Linked DNA regions of Caenorhabditis elegans. The protein of the gene in region 1 interacts with the protein of each later gene in a biochemical or structural test. Each region holds a gene or a part of one and is shown on either strand. Other genes may lie near its edges.

Region 1 (8,451 bases):
TGGTGGGACCCAAAATACCCCAAAAAAGCACAGAATTTCTGAAAATTGGCAGAGCATAGGCATGAGTATACTTTTCTGAAAACTTAAAATAAACTAAATATGTTAGAAATAATATTTCAGACAAAATAACAAAAGTTAGAAACAAGATTGAGTTGAATTCTGAAAAATACTGAATTTAAAAATTTTGGAAAAAAAACTTTTTTTAAAATTTTTTTGAAAATTCACAATTTTGCCAATTTTTTTGATTTATGCTATTTCTTGACTTCAAATGTTAAAAAATTATTTTTCCATTTGAAAGTATAAAATAAAACTACAAAAAGCAGCAGAACCAAAAGTTCGAGTAAAGAATAAAAAGAGTTGCAAATTTTCGAAAAAAAAATCCGAAATTTTCGGAACTTTCAAACCAATAACTCAATTTTCCCATACTCTATTGTGAACCTAAAAAAAAACAAAATTTGTTACAATTTTTTCGAGAAACTGAACTTTTGACAAGATTCTTCTGGAAAAAGCCATGTTTACACTAACAAACGGGTAAGCTTAAGCCTGTGTGGGGAAATGTTTATTCCAATGCTTTTAGTGGAAATTTCGAAGTTTTTAGAAACTTTGGATTTGTGCTCAATGAGCAACATTTGAACTATTGGTCACTTTTGGTGGGATAAAAAATTATCGAAGAAAAACTTTTTTTTTTGGATTTTTTTTTTCAAAATGGTCCCAAAATTTGCAGAATTTCATTTTTTTAAATTTGAGTTCAAAAATGTGTTTTCGCTAACCGAAAGCTTTCAAAAAAGTATAATCATGAATGTTGAATTTGATGTTGAATTTTTCTCGAAAATTTTGGGTCCCGCCACGAAAACTCTTGGGGTTACTGTAGAAAAAGAGTTACTGCGCAAAAATTATTTTTCTCGACTTATTTGTGAATTTATACTTCTTTTATGGTAAAAAGTTAGCGAAAAATCTTAAAAGTGGACTTTTGGCGGATTTTCGAAAATATTGAAAAAAAAAACTATGATGGAAAATTTTAAAACTACAGTAACCAAAACAATATCGCGTTGGGACCCAAATTAATTCAATTGTTGTATTCAGTACATCAAGAGCTTCCAAATAAGCTCCATATCGCCTAGGTTGGGTTATTTTGCTTGAAAATTGAAAATTCGGGTCTCGCCACGATTTAAAGGCACATTGAGGGTTGGATTTTTAAAATGGTCGGAAAATATTCGTGATGGGTGCCATTTGAAAGCTCTCGGTGTGTTGAATTTGAAAATTGCGGAAATGAAAAATTTTAGAGGAATATCGAAATAAAATAGTTTGAAAATAATTTTCAAAATTTTTTTCTTTAATCTCAAACACAACTTTTTTTCCAAAATTTTGAATTTTTTTTTTGAAAAAAAAATTCAAACAGCTGTACAAATCCTACAAAACTAAAGAAAAAAAAATTTAAAAAAAGATCTATGTGCTAAAAAGTGGGCGGAGCCAAAGATGGAAATTGGAAAATTGGGCGAACTCTCAAAATTGGCTGAAATTTTTGCTCTTTTCTGGTTTTTCGTCGGGGTTTTTTCTGTAAGTTCATTTTTTGTTAAAAAAAAGTTATTTTGAATCGGTACCCACGCAAATTTTTAAATTTTGGAAATAAAAAAAAAATAAAAATTTCGAAAAAAAAAATTCGAAAAAAAAAATCAGAACCTACTTAAAACTGCAAACTTTCTTAGAAAATGTCGTCACACACACACCCTCACCTCCTCTTCTCTGAATGGGAAATGGCCGGTTAAGTGGCGCAGGGGACACACGAAGGTGTCTACGCGGTGAAGCACCCCCCGCTGAAAGTCCCCTCCGAAAAAATTCGGTTGAACACGTAGAGAAATATGTGTTCTATGGGTTAAAAAGGTCAACGGGTTTTTTGTTAGAACAAAAAGTCTAAGAAATTCTGATAGTTTTGACCTAGTTTTCGCACTTTTGAAATTATTGAAAAAAATTGAAAAAAAAATGTTTCGAACATTTTCGAAAATTTGTAACTTTGTCCGTTTTTGAGATAGTACGGAGATTTATGGCTTAAAATTTTCAGAAGTATTTGCTCTCTTCACGATAAATGCAAAAAACCAATTCTGCGTTCAAAATTTATGAATTCTCAAAGTTTTCGTGGCGGGACCCAAACTTTCCAAAAAAAAAAAAAAGATTAAAATTTCTTTTTCTTTGAAAACCCATTTGCTTTTACTGCTAATAGGCCCCCAGTATGCCTAGCATGTCTAGGTTAAGCCTAAAAATTTTCTAAAAATTTCTAACTCCATGCGCCTTTAAAACGTGGTGAGGCCCTGAATTTTGGATTTACCGTAACCTAGGCAATATGGATGGCATTTGGAAACACTCAGTCTGCTTGATTTTAAATTTTACGTTGAAAAAATAGCCTCAACACAAAACTTTTCGAGTTTTTAAGTAGTTTCTAAGTTTTTCAATTTTTTTTCAAAAAATGTTTTTTCGAATATTTTCGAAAATTCGTAACTTTGTCAGTTTTTGAGATTTTCGAATAAGGTTTGACTTATTACGTGTATAATTATTTTTTCTAAGCGTAAAAATTACAAACAACTAGTTTCGAATACAAAAATCGGTAAAACCTTAGTTTTCTTTGCGGAACCCAAAAGTTAATTTTCAAAATATGTCGAAGCTTTTCAAAACTCCGTAACTTTGTCAGCTTTTGAAAATTTTTTTGTTTCTTATTATTTAAAGTTTTAAATAACTAGATAAAATTAGAAAAATAATTTTATAAACGAAACTACAGTAACCCGAAGGGTTTTCGTGGCGGGACCCTAAAATATCATAAATATGTGGGGAAATGTAATATGGACATGATGGGGGTTGTTGGAAAGGTTTCAAAAAGTTAAATAAGGTGAAATAAACAAAGTAAAAATTTCCAAGTTTAAAAAAATTTTCGACCAAAAAAAAATTTGTTTTTCGAAACTTTCAAAATTCTCCAAAACTATCACAATAATTATTTATGGTCCCCAAGTTCTATAAAACGTTGCAAAAACGGCTTGAAAAGCTCAATACGGGTGAAACGACGAGTTAAGCCCTTGTGACGGGGGCTAGCGCGCCCCGTGAGAAGCGAAAGATTAGCGCATTTTCTTCAAATTTTCTCGACTTTAGACGAGTAGTGAGGATTCAGAATTTTCTTTAGAAAACTAGAAAAAAGAAAAAGAAGAAGATACGGAGATGTTATTGGATGATTCAGAAAATTAGAAGGGGAGCAGGCGTGAGAGACCTTCGGCGGAAAATACGATCAGATGTCTATTCGAGTGCAATTTGTTGTGTGTTTTGAACGTCTAGAATATCATGGAAAGTCTATAAAGTAATTAAAACCCGGAAACTAGTTGTAAATGTTTTTTTGAAAAATTAAAAAAAAAACTTTAAAATTTTTCAAAAAAAATGTTTTTTCAAATTTTTTTTTTTGAAATTTGAACTTTTTTTCGAAATTTTTGATACCAGGGCTTTCAAAAATTCACAACGACACCCATCTAGTCATATACGCCTTTAAATCGTTGCGAGACCCAGCATTTTAAAAATCTGGCAGACCATAATTTTCCAAAAAAAATCCAAAAAACTACCAAAAAAAGAGGAGGCAATTTTCGAAAATTTCAGCCATTTTCCAGTACAGAGTTCAAATATTTTCCAACACGAAAAAAATTTTTTTGTATATTTTTACAGTCACTCTTAACGTTTTTGTGGAGGGAGCCTGGAAATCTCAAAAATACAAAAAATCCAAAAAAGTATTTTTTCTAAAAATTTTGGAAATTTTCCGATTTTTCAAAAATTCATAACTTTTTCAGTTTTCAAGTTTTTCAACTGATTTTTGGCTTTAAATTTGTGAAATCTTATTGGCTAAATGTTAAAATTAACTTTTACACAGTAATATTTTTTTCTACAGTAGCCCCAAGAGTTTTCGAGTCGGGACCCAAAATATTCGATAAAAATTAAAAATGAGCAGAACATAGTCATGTTTATACTTTTTTGAAAGCTCTTGTTAAGCTGAAGCACATTTTTACTTTGAAACAAAATTCTAGAAATTTTGGAACAATTTTTAAAAAATTATTTTGAAAAAAATTCTGAAAATTTTTTTTTAAGTTGGAAAATTTTTCGATTTTTAAAAATTTCATAACTTTGCAATTTTTCGAGAATTTTAGATGGTTTTAACCTAAAATGTGTAAAATTTAATTGACTAAATGCTCGAATTAATTTTTACACAATAGAATTTATTCTACAGTAACCCCAAAAGTTTTCCTGGTGGGACCCAAAATTTCAAAAAAAAAAGTTGTTGCAGTTTTTGAAAACCCATAACTTTGCCAATTTTTGACTTTATTCAAAGATTTTAAAGTTACAATTTGTGAAAATTTATGGCCTAAATGACAAAAAAATTTTTAAAGTCAATAGGTACAATACTACACTAACCCAAAGAGTTTTCGTGGTGGGACCCAAAACTTTAAAAAAAAATTACGAGACAAGCCGGAATTTTCAGATATTTAAAAGCTAGCAGAGCCTTTCCGAGATTTCTCAGAATCTGATGATGTTTTCCGAACAAAAATCTTCTGTTCCAGTAACTCAATCAACTAATTTTTGATCTAATTTTCGGCGGGAAAAAAGGAGAAAAAAGGAGAAAAACTGCCGCTCACTTGCTGTTCAATGTCCATATTGGCGGCGGTGAAGTGGCGTTCAGAAGCTCCAAAAATGACGAAGAATTCATTGTATCATAATTGGTGATGTTCTCATCGTCCGCCGCATTCATAATGGTGTTCCTGAAAAAATTTAAAAAACTAGGGATTTTTTGGAAAAAACATTTTTTTTTGCGAATGAGGAAGTAAGAAGGGGCAAGGGAAACTGGAAAAATAGTAAATAAAAAAATAAAATACAATTGGATTAAAAAAATTCAGTAAAAAGTTAGCGAAAATTTGAAAAAAGTTGTAAGGTTGGGAAATTAGGAAAAAAGCTTTTGGAAAAAAATTTGAATTTTTTTAAATTTAAAGTTTAATAATGATAACAAAATGTTACAATCAATTTTTTAGATTTTTACAAAAAATAACTCAAAATTAGGGTCCCGCCGCGAAAACCACGAAAGAAAAATTGAAAAATCAAAAAAAAAATTATTTTTTGAAAATTTGTGTCTCGCCACGAAAATTCGTGGGGTTAGTGTAGAATGGATTTTACTGTGTTAAAATTAAATTTAGTATTCAGCCAATAATATTGCACAAATTTTAAGCCAAAAATCAACTGAAAATCTCCAAAACTAAAAAAGTAATGAATTTTTGAAAATCGTAAAATTTCCAAAATTAGAGTCCCACCAGGGGTGTGCGGCAAATTTGCCGAACTTGCCGAATTTGCCGTGTGCCGAATTTGCCGAGTTCGGCAAATTTTGAAATTTGCCGCACACGTCAAAAATTTGACAGGGCAATTTTGACTAAAACCATTGATTTTTTCGCCAAAAATTTAGTAAAATGACACAAAATTGCGTTATTTTGATGCTTAAGCAGACATACTACACGGAACTTATTCAGAAACCAGATGAGTGTTAAGATCTCAGTAGTTTTGGTGTTCCAAAAAACATCAAAAATTATCAAAATTTTCCGAGTTTGTTAAGCACGGCAAATTTGCCGAATTTGCCGCACACCCCTGAGTCCCACCACGAAAACTCTTGGGGTTACTGTAGAAAAATATTGCATTGTCTTGAATTATTTTTACAATTTGAAGTATCATTTGTCGTAAATTTTGAGCCAAAATTAACTGAAATTCTCAAAAATTGACAAAGTTACGGATTTTCAAAAATTAAAAACAAAACTGACAAAAAATTTTTCGCACAAAAAATTTGTCTAATTTGGCAACAAAATGAGAAAATTGATTTTAGAATAAAAAAAACCGACATTAACGTTTTGCAGAAAAGTGAGCAAAAAGAGCAAAAAAGTGGGAGGAAATTGAGCAAAATTAGCTTAGTTAAGGGTCTATGAGCCGCCAGGAAAAGGGAAGTAAAGATGGGAAAAGTGATATTAGATGGCGGGAAATTTGAATTTTGAAGTGAAATTTAGCAAAAAATTAATTGCAAGTTAAAAATGAGGAGAATGGTGTAGTTTGAAAATTAAAAAAAAAAATAAACCACACTCATTTTTTAGTGTACTTAAATACATATTTTTGCAGTTTTCAATAAATTTTTATGTTCAATAAAACAAATGGATAGGCGTACTTGGAACCAGAAACTTTTCCTGAAAAAAAATTTTCATTTATTTTTTTTTTCAGAAATAAGTTTTTTTTTTCCGAAAAGTCGAAAATTAAAAAAAATTAAAAAAATTTTTTTTATCGAATTTTCAAAAAAAAAAACGATTAATTATAACCTTCCGGAAATAAATTGAAATTCCTAACCAAAAAAAAAAGGAAAAAAAAACGTAAAGTAAATAATAATAATAATGATGTGTGGAGGTGGTAGTGAGAAAGATGAATAGATGAAAATATAAATGGGAGGGTGGAAAAAACTGGAAAAAATGGAGAAATTATAAGGAAAATAAGGAAAAAAGCAGACTGAATTTTTATTTTCTTTGAAAAAAAATTCCAAAAAAAACTTTGATAGTTGTAGGCTTAGGCTTAGGCACAGGCCTAAGTTTAAGCTCAGGCTTAGGCTCAGGCTTGTTTTTAGGCTTAGGCTTAGGCTTAAGCTTAGGCTCAGGCTTAGGCTTAGACTTAAGCTTAGGCCTAGACAGGCTTAGGCTTAGGCTAAGGCTAAGGCTTTGGCTTAGACTTAGGCTTAGATTTAGGCTCAGGCTTAGACGTGGCTTAGAATCAGGCTTAGGCCTAGGCTTAGGCTTAGGCTCAAACTTAGGCTTAGACTTAAGCTTAGGCCTAGACAGGCTTAGGCTTAGGCTAAGGCTAAGGCTTTGGCTTAGACTTAGGCTTAGATTTAGGCTCAGGCTTAGACGTGGCTTAGAATCAGGCTTAGGCCTAGGCTTAGGCTTAGGCTCAAACTTAGGCTTAGGCTTAGATTTAGGCTGTGGCTTAGGTCAGGCTCAACCTGGGCTGGGCTCCAAAAAATCCAGAAAAAAGGAAAAACCACAAAAAAATCAGGAAAAATTTGAGATTCCGAAGTCGGGTCAAAAAATATCATAAAAACGGCCGGATATTAGTTTTTTTTTCGAAATTTTCTTTTTTTGGTTTTAGAGTTTTTGAATTTTTCGGGAAATCTCAATTTTAAAATTCAATTTTTTTAAAAGAATTCCGAGTATTTATACAATTTCTTTTCAACAAATTAATTGATCACTAATTTTTTGATAAATTTGATTTTAAAAAATGAGAAAAGTTATTCCTTTAAAGTTTTCCAAAAATTCCAGAAAAAAATTTCAAAAAAATTTCCACTTTTTTTACATGTATGTATTCACAAGGGACTTGAGATGATGATTGCATGTTTTTCAACCGGGAAGTCCACACATTTTTCGTTTTTTTCTTCTTGTATTTTTTCGAGAGAAAGTGTTAGGTGTCCCGGGGATAACAGGAAGCAATCTGGAAATATCTAGAACTTTGGGGAGAAGCTGGGCAAAAAGGATGCATTTTTTCAAGGTGATATGTAGTGGTAAGGATAATAAAATATTATGCAGAATTTTGATTTAAAAAAATATAAAAAATTGAAATTTTGAAGAACAAATTTTTTTCGAAAAAAATTATTTTGCAATTTTTTGTTTTCAAAATTTGTTTTCAAAAAAAAACCTCGATGTAGGTAAAATTTCACCAATTTTTTTCCACTTCATTGCACTTATCACACCCCAAAAGTCCACATTAACAAGTTCTGAAGGTCAAAATCTCAGCTTCACCCAAAAAAAAATTCCAAACCGAAAAAAAAGTAGCAGACGTTCAGCCACCAAACAAAAAAAAATGACGAATTGTCACGGAAAAAGAGGAAACTTGCCATTATACTTACTCTTCTACACTCTACAACCACAAACTTTTGACAGAAAAATGACGAATTCAGGGGAGAAGTCAGTTGGGTCCAGCCACGAAAACTCCTGGGGTACTGTAGTTTTTAATGTATTGAAAACTAAACTAGTTTTATTAATTAGAAATTGGGTTTGTGAACATTTTGAAACAAATTTTAAACAATTAGCTTGAAAATTGATGAAGTTATGAATTTTCGAAAAACAAGAGTTTTTTTTTTTGAAAATTAGAGTCCCACCACGAAAACTCCTGAGGTACTGTAGTTTTTGATTTTTCAAAAAACAAAATTGTTTTTACAATTAGATATTGAAATTTTAAATTTTTTGAAACTAATTTCAAAAAATTAGCATGAAAATTAATAAAGTTATGAATTTTTGAAAACTTCAACAAAAAAAAAACCAAATTTTTTTTCGAAATTTAGAGTCCCGCCACGAACACTAATCTGCTTACGTAATATGAATAAAAAGGAAGTTGAAATAAATTTTTTCATTTAGAATAAGAATT
Region 2 (4,610 bases), on another chromosome or scaffold:
CACCATAGTCATGGTAATCGATATGCTCGCCTGGAAATGTTACGGTAGCTGCACATGGTGTCAAAACTCTCATTTCTGCTTGATCTACGTTGATCTACAAAAAATGCGGGAGAAGAGAAGCAAAGTTCTCAACTGATTTCGCATAGTGAAGAACGTGCTGACGTCACCTGTTTTTGGGAAAAAAATTCCCGCTTTTTTTTGTAGATCAAACCGTAATGGGACAGCCTGGCACCACGTGTAGCTGATAAAATTTCATTCGTGCCAAGACCTAAGGCAGCAGTTTTGCAACTAAACTTTCATTTTTCAAAATAAAAAAGTGTCATTTTTCTCTCAATTGTTTCAAGTTCCTATGATTTTTGCAAGTCTGTGGTCAGTTAACCATGACGATCTATGTAGGCTCGTGTACTCCCCGAGGAGAAGATTTAATTTTTTGTATTACATGAACACAAAATTCTGAGAATGCGTATTGCACAACATATTTGACGCGCAAAATATCTCGCAACGAAAACTACTCTTTAAATGACTACTGTAGCGCTCTTGTGTCGATTTACGGGCTCAGGTGAATATAAATAATTTATTTATCGATAGAGTACTGAAAATCGGTTAAAAATGACCAATGAGCCGCTAAATCGACACAAACGCTACAGTAGTAATTTAAAGACTTACTGTAGTTTTCGCTACGAGATATTTTGCGCGTCAAATATGTTGTGCAATATGCATTCTCAGAATTTTGTGTTCCCGTAATAGTCAAAATTTCAAATTTCAAATTATCTTTTATTTTATAAAATACAATTTTAGGTGTTTGAGGAGAAAATCTATAATTTCAACGTGTCCCTGATACCTGAACCCTGATAGGAAAAAAACCCGGGACTTTTAACACTTTTTGGGTCCTGGCACGATTGAAACTTCAAAATTTTGAGCTACCGTAACCGCGGAAATATTTCGAAATGCTTTTTATTATTTTTAATACATTTTTTATACAGTAAAGCAAAATTTCCAGAGAAACATATATTTCTGCGAAAGTTTCGATCGTGGCAAGACCAATAACAACGTACCAATCAAATTAACACGGCCCGGACACGTGACACGAACTTCTGGCTCAATACCATACAATTTGACGAATTGCTCGGCGAGCTGCTCATTTGAGACCATTTTTAACGAATTTCTGAAACTATATAATAGGAAATTGGAAGTTGTAGAAAAGACAATAGGGGCACCACCACCTATAACAAACAAAATAATATTTATATGACTGTCTGCGTCTCTAACATGTTGACCATACTCTGTGTTGCCCGCCGCCACGTGTTGCGTGCATGGTGTACTGGGAATCTGATAGATAAGGGATTCGATGATGTTCAGTACGGTCTGCGCCTTTGAGGATTACTGTAGTTCACACATTTTCTTATTTTCGAGAAAAATCTATTCAAATAAATACCAAAATTTTTGGACAAACCAAATTTAAAATATCAAAACCCATGTTTTTTTTAAACAAGTGAGCAACGAAAATTTTCGAATTACAGTAATCTTTAAAGGCGCACATATATTTTCGCATTTAATGAAAATGTGTCGCTTCGAGACCGGCTTCAGCATTTTTTGAAGCAGAATTTCTCATCTCGGTAATATGCCTCTTTCTTGACGTTTTCCTAAATTTTTGTCGACAAATTCGACAAATCGGCAATTTGCCGATTTGCCGGAAATTTTCATTTTTGGCAAATTGCCGTTTGCCGGATATCAGATTTGCCGGAAATGTTTAGAGGAATTTTTACAAGACGGAAACACTTAAAACTGTGTCATTTTGAATTTTTTCCCGTTTTTTAAAGGATATTTTCATAAAATTTGCTTAATTTTCAAAATAGATGTAGGAAAATTCATAGGATGCGTTTAATTTTGCCATTTGAAATTAAAATTCCAAAATTTCCAAAAAATAATAAAAACAAAATCACAATTTGCCGAAAATTTTCGGAAAATTGTTGTTTTTCCGGCTACTTGCGGGTTTGCCGGAAACTTAAAATTCCGGCAATTTGCCGATTTGCCGGAAAAAAATCGTTTACCGCCCACCCCTGAACTACAGTACTCCTTAAAGGCGCACACTGGTTTGCAAAAAGATAATCTAGACTGGGTCCCGTCACGGCTCAGAGTTTTTTCCAGAATTTTCAAAGCGAAATTACAAGTTTGTGTTAGTAGCTTCCATCGCGACGAGACCCAGAATATTCCACAATAGGTCTCACCACGAAGCAAAATAGTTATTAATTGCCGGCGTGGCGAGACCCACAGAAACACGTGTTGTCAGGCTGTCCCATTACGGTTTGATCTACAAAAAATGCGGGAATTTTTTGCCAAAACACTCTGCAAAGAACTCTGCGTCTCAACTCCCGCATTTTTGTAGATCTACGTAGATCAAACCGAAATGAGAAAAAGCTTTATTCAAAGTTTTTTGTTTTGATTTTAATTGCAAAAAAGAAAAGAAATTCTTCAACAATAAAATGATTCATTGGCGACTGTCTCTGTGTTGGTTATTAGAAAAAAATAAATCGTTCGATTGGTGGTTTGGATGGCGGAGCAGGGAAAAATAGTTAGACGGGGTCGGTTATTGCCATTCCCAGATTGGCTCGAGCACAACTGGTCCAGAGCTGCCGCTGCTTCGCTTTCCGAACTGGAGAGGCCGATAGTCGCGTTTTCCGAACTGCAATGGACGGTACCCATCTCGCTTGCCGAACTGCAATTTATGTGTGTATAATATTTTTAACTTTTTTTAAAATGTCTTGTTCCCTACCTGAAGTGGCCGGTAATCGCGATCCTGACGGTCAAACGTCGGCGACTGTGTTGCAAAAACTGTAAAAAAAACGGAAGTAATTTTTAGAAAAAAAATTGGCCTAAAAATTGGCCTAAAAATAGTATTAAAACGACGAACCCTCCACGAATACGAGGATGAGCATGAGCAGGGCGCAGCTGTGGTGGCGGAGCATTTTGTCGGAGGCAATTGAAATAAGTTTCGCCGAGTCGAGGTGTCGGGCTTTTATACCACCCCCCCCCCCATCAGTAAACTACAGATTCGTCATATTTCCCAACGGAGCCGGGGGGACCACGCCTTTCCCCCCTACCATTTTGGTTAGCTTCTGGAGTTGATGGGCTCGTAAAAACTGAGAGAGAGATTCATAGCGTTTATCCAAATGAAGTGATGAAAATGGGGTGAAAGGATTTAAAGAAAAAGAGTGATGGGGGAGGGAGAGGGGTAAAAATAGCGATTTCAACAGTCAAAGAAAAAAATAGAAATTTAAAAAATAATTTAAATAGTATCCTCCGGATTCGTCTCGGCCACGAGCTTCAACTGCTCGGCGTTCTCGATCAAGAAGTAGGCGAAGACGGCGATGAAGACGAAGAGAATTGTGAATGTGATCTGGAAAATAGAAAATAAGTTTTTATTGCCAGAAAAAGGGCGAAAAACTCACCGTGCTTCCCAAGAATCCTCCTTTGTTGCTCTGAGCTTGACGAGCCGATGCCCGATCGGCGGCCATTTCCTCTTCCGTCAAGTATCGCATCGACTCCTCGCAATCGTCGCTGTCCGATTCGGGAGAGGTAGTAGCTGCCGCTGTTGCAGCTGACACGTTCTGGAAAACTCGTTGTGGCGGTGATTTCTTCGGTGACGAGCTGATGATCAATGAATCCTCGTTGAATTGAGAGTCGTTGAGATTTGATTGATCTGGAAATTAGAGGTTCGAAAACTTTAAAAATGTTATTTAGAAATTAATAAATAATTTAAATTCAAATCCTCACTGTTAATGCTTCCGTCTGATAACTTGATAAGCTTCTTCTCGTAGAGCTTGCGGGTCGTCGCCACAATTGGCCCAACAGAAACCCCGTGGCTTTTAAGGCTATCGCGTAGTTCGGCATCTGTCAGCTGGGAGACGTCCATTTTTTGTGAGATGGTCTGGAAAAAGCAAAAAATGACAATTTTCAAGCAAAAATTGAGGAAAACGAGCGATTTTCTACCTAAAATCTTGAGAAAATCGTTTATTTATTGAACATTTTACCAAAAAAATTAAAAATGCCCATTTTTTGTGAGATGGTCTGGAAAAGGCAAAAAAATGACAATTTTCGAGCAAAAATTGAGGAAGGGCGATTTTCTACTTAAAAAATGGTTTATTCATTGATTTTTCACCGAAAAAATGAAAAATTCTACAAAAAACTGATTAAAAACAGGAGAAAATGAAAAATTATGAAAAAATAATTTCAAACCCAAGTCAAATTGGCTGAGAGACAACGCGACGGCGAGAGACGCAGAGTGGACGGGTCTCGTCACGATATCGCTTTGTGTCGATTTACGGAGGAATTTCCAGCCCGCAGATTTAAATCAATGATTTTCGCGCGCGCTTTTTTTCCTGAATCATGATTCGAATCATACATAAATAAAATACGGAAAACGAGGTTTTTTTAATAAAGTTTCAACCATTTCTTTTTGTCCACAAAACATTTACATAAAATTAGATCAATGTTAATAGAAATAAATATGAAATTAAAAACTATCGCAAAAAGTCGATACAATAATGGGGAAGAAGAAGGGGGGATGGTGTGTGGATGGGGGATGGTTTTTTTTTCGGTTGAGAAGAAGA

What was found. The genes of interacting proteins can lie anywhere in the genome.
Region 2: of the proteins of ckr-2 (region 1) and nlp-12, one has a biochemical effect on the other in vitro, tested with the Caenorhabditis elegans proteins (2 studies listed by BioGRID, with this or other methods).

Annotation. Positions count from the first base shown.
Region 1 is NC_003281.10:2,016,812-2,025,262, forward strand, and holds the start of ckr-2 (G-protein coupled receptors family 1 profile domain-containing protein), read right to left. Parts: upstream 4,769-8,451; coding exon 4,656-4,768; intron 1-4,655.
Region 2 is NC_003279.8:1,841,763-1,846,372, reverse strand, and holds nlp-12 (Neuropeptide-Like Protein), read right to left. Parts: upstream 2,990-4,610; 5' UTR 2,967-2,989; coding exon 2,912-2,966; intron 2,833-2,911; coding exon 2,774-2,832; intron 2,717-2,773; coding exon 2,588-2,716; 3' UTR 2,414-2,587; downstream 1-2,413. Other genes in the region: tag-96 (Galactokinase), read right to left, coding at 1-30, 1,056-1,152; emr-1 (Emerin homolog 1), read right to left, coding at 3,287-3,397, 3,450-3,700, 3,775-3,913.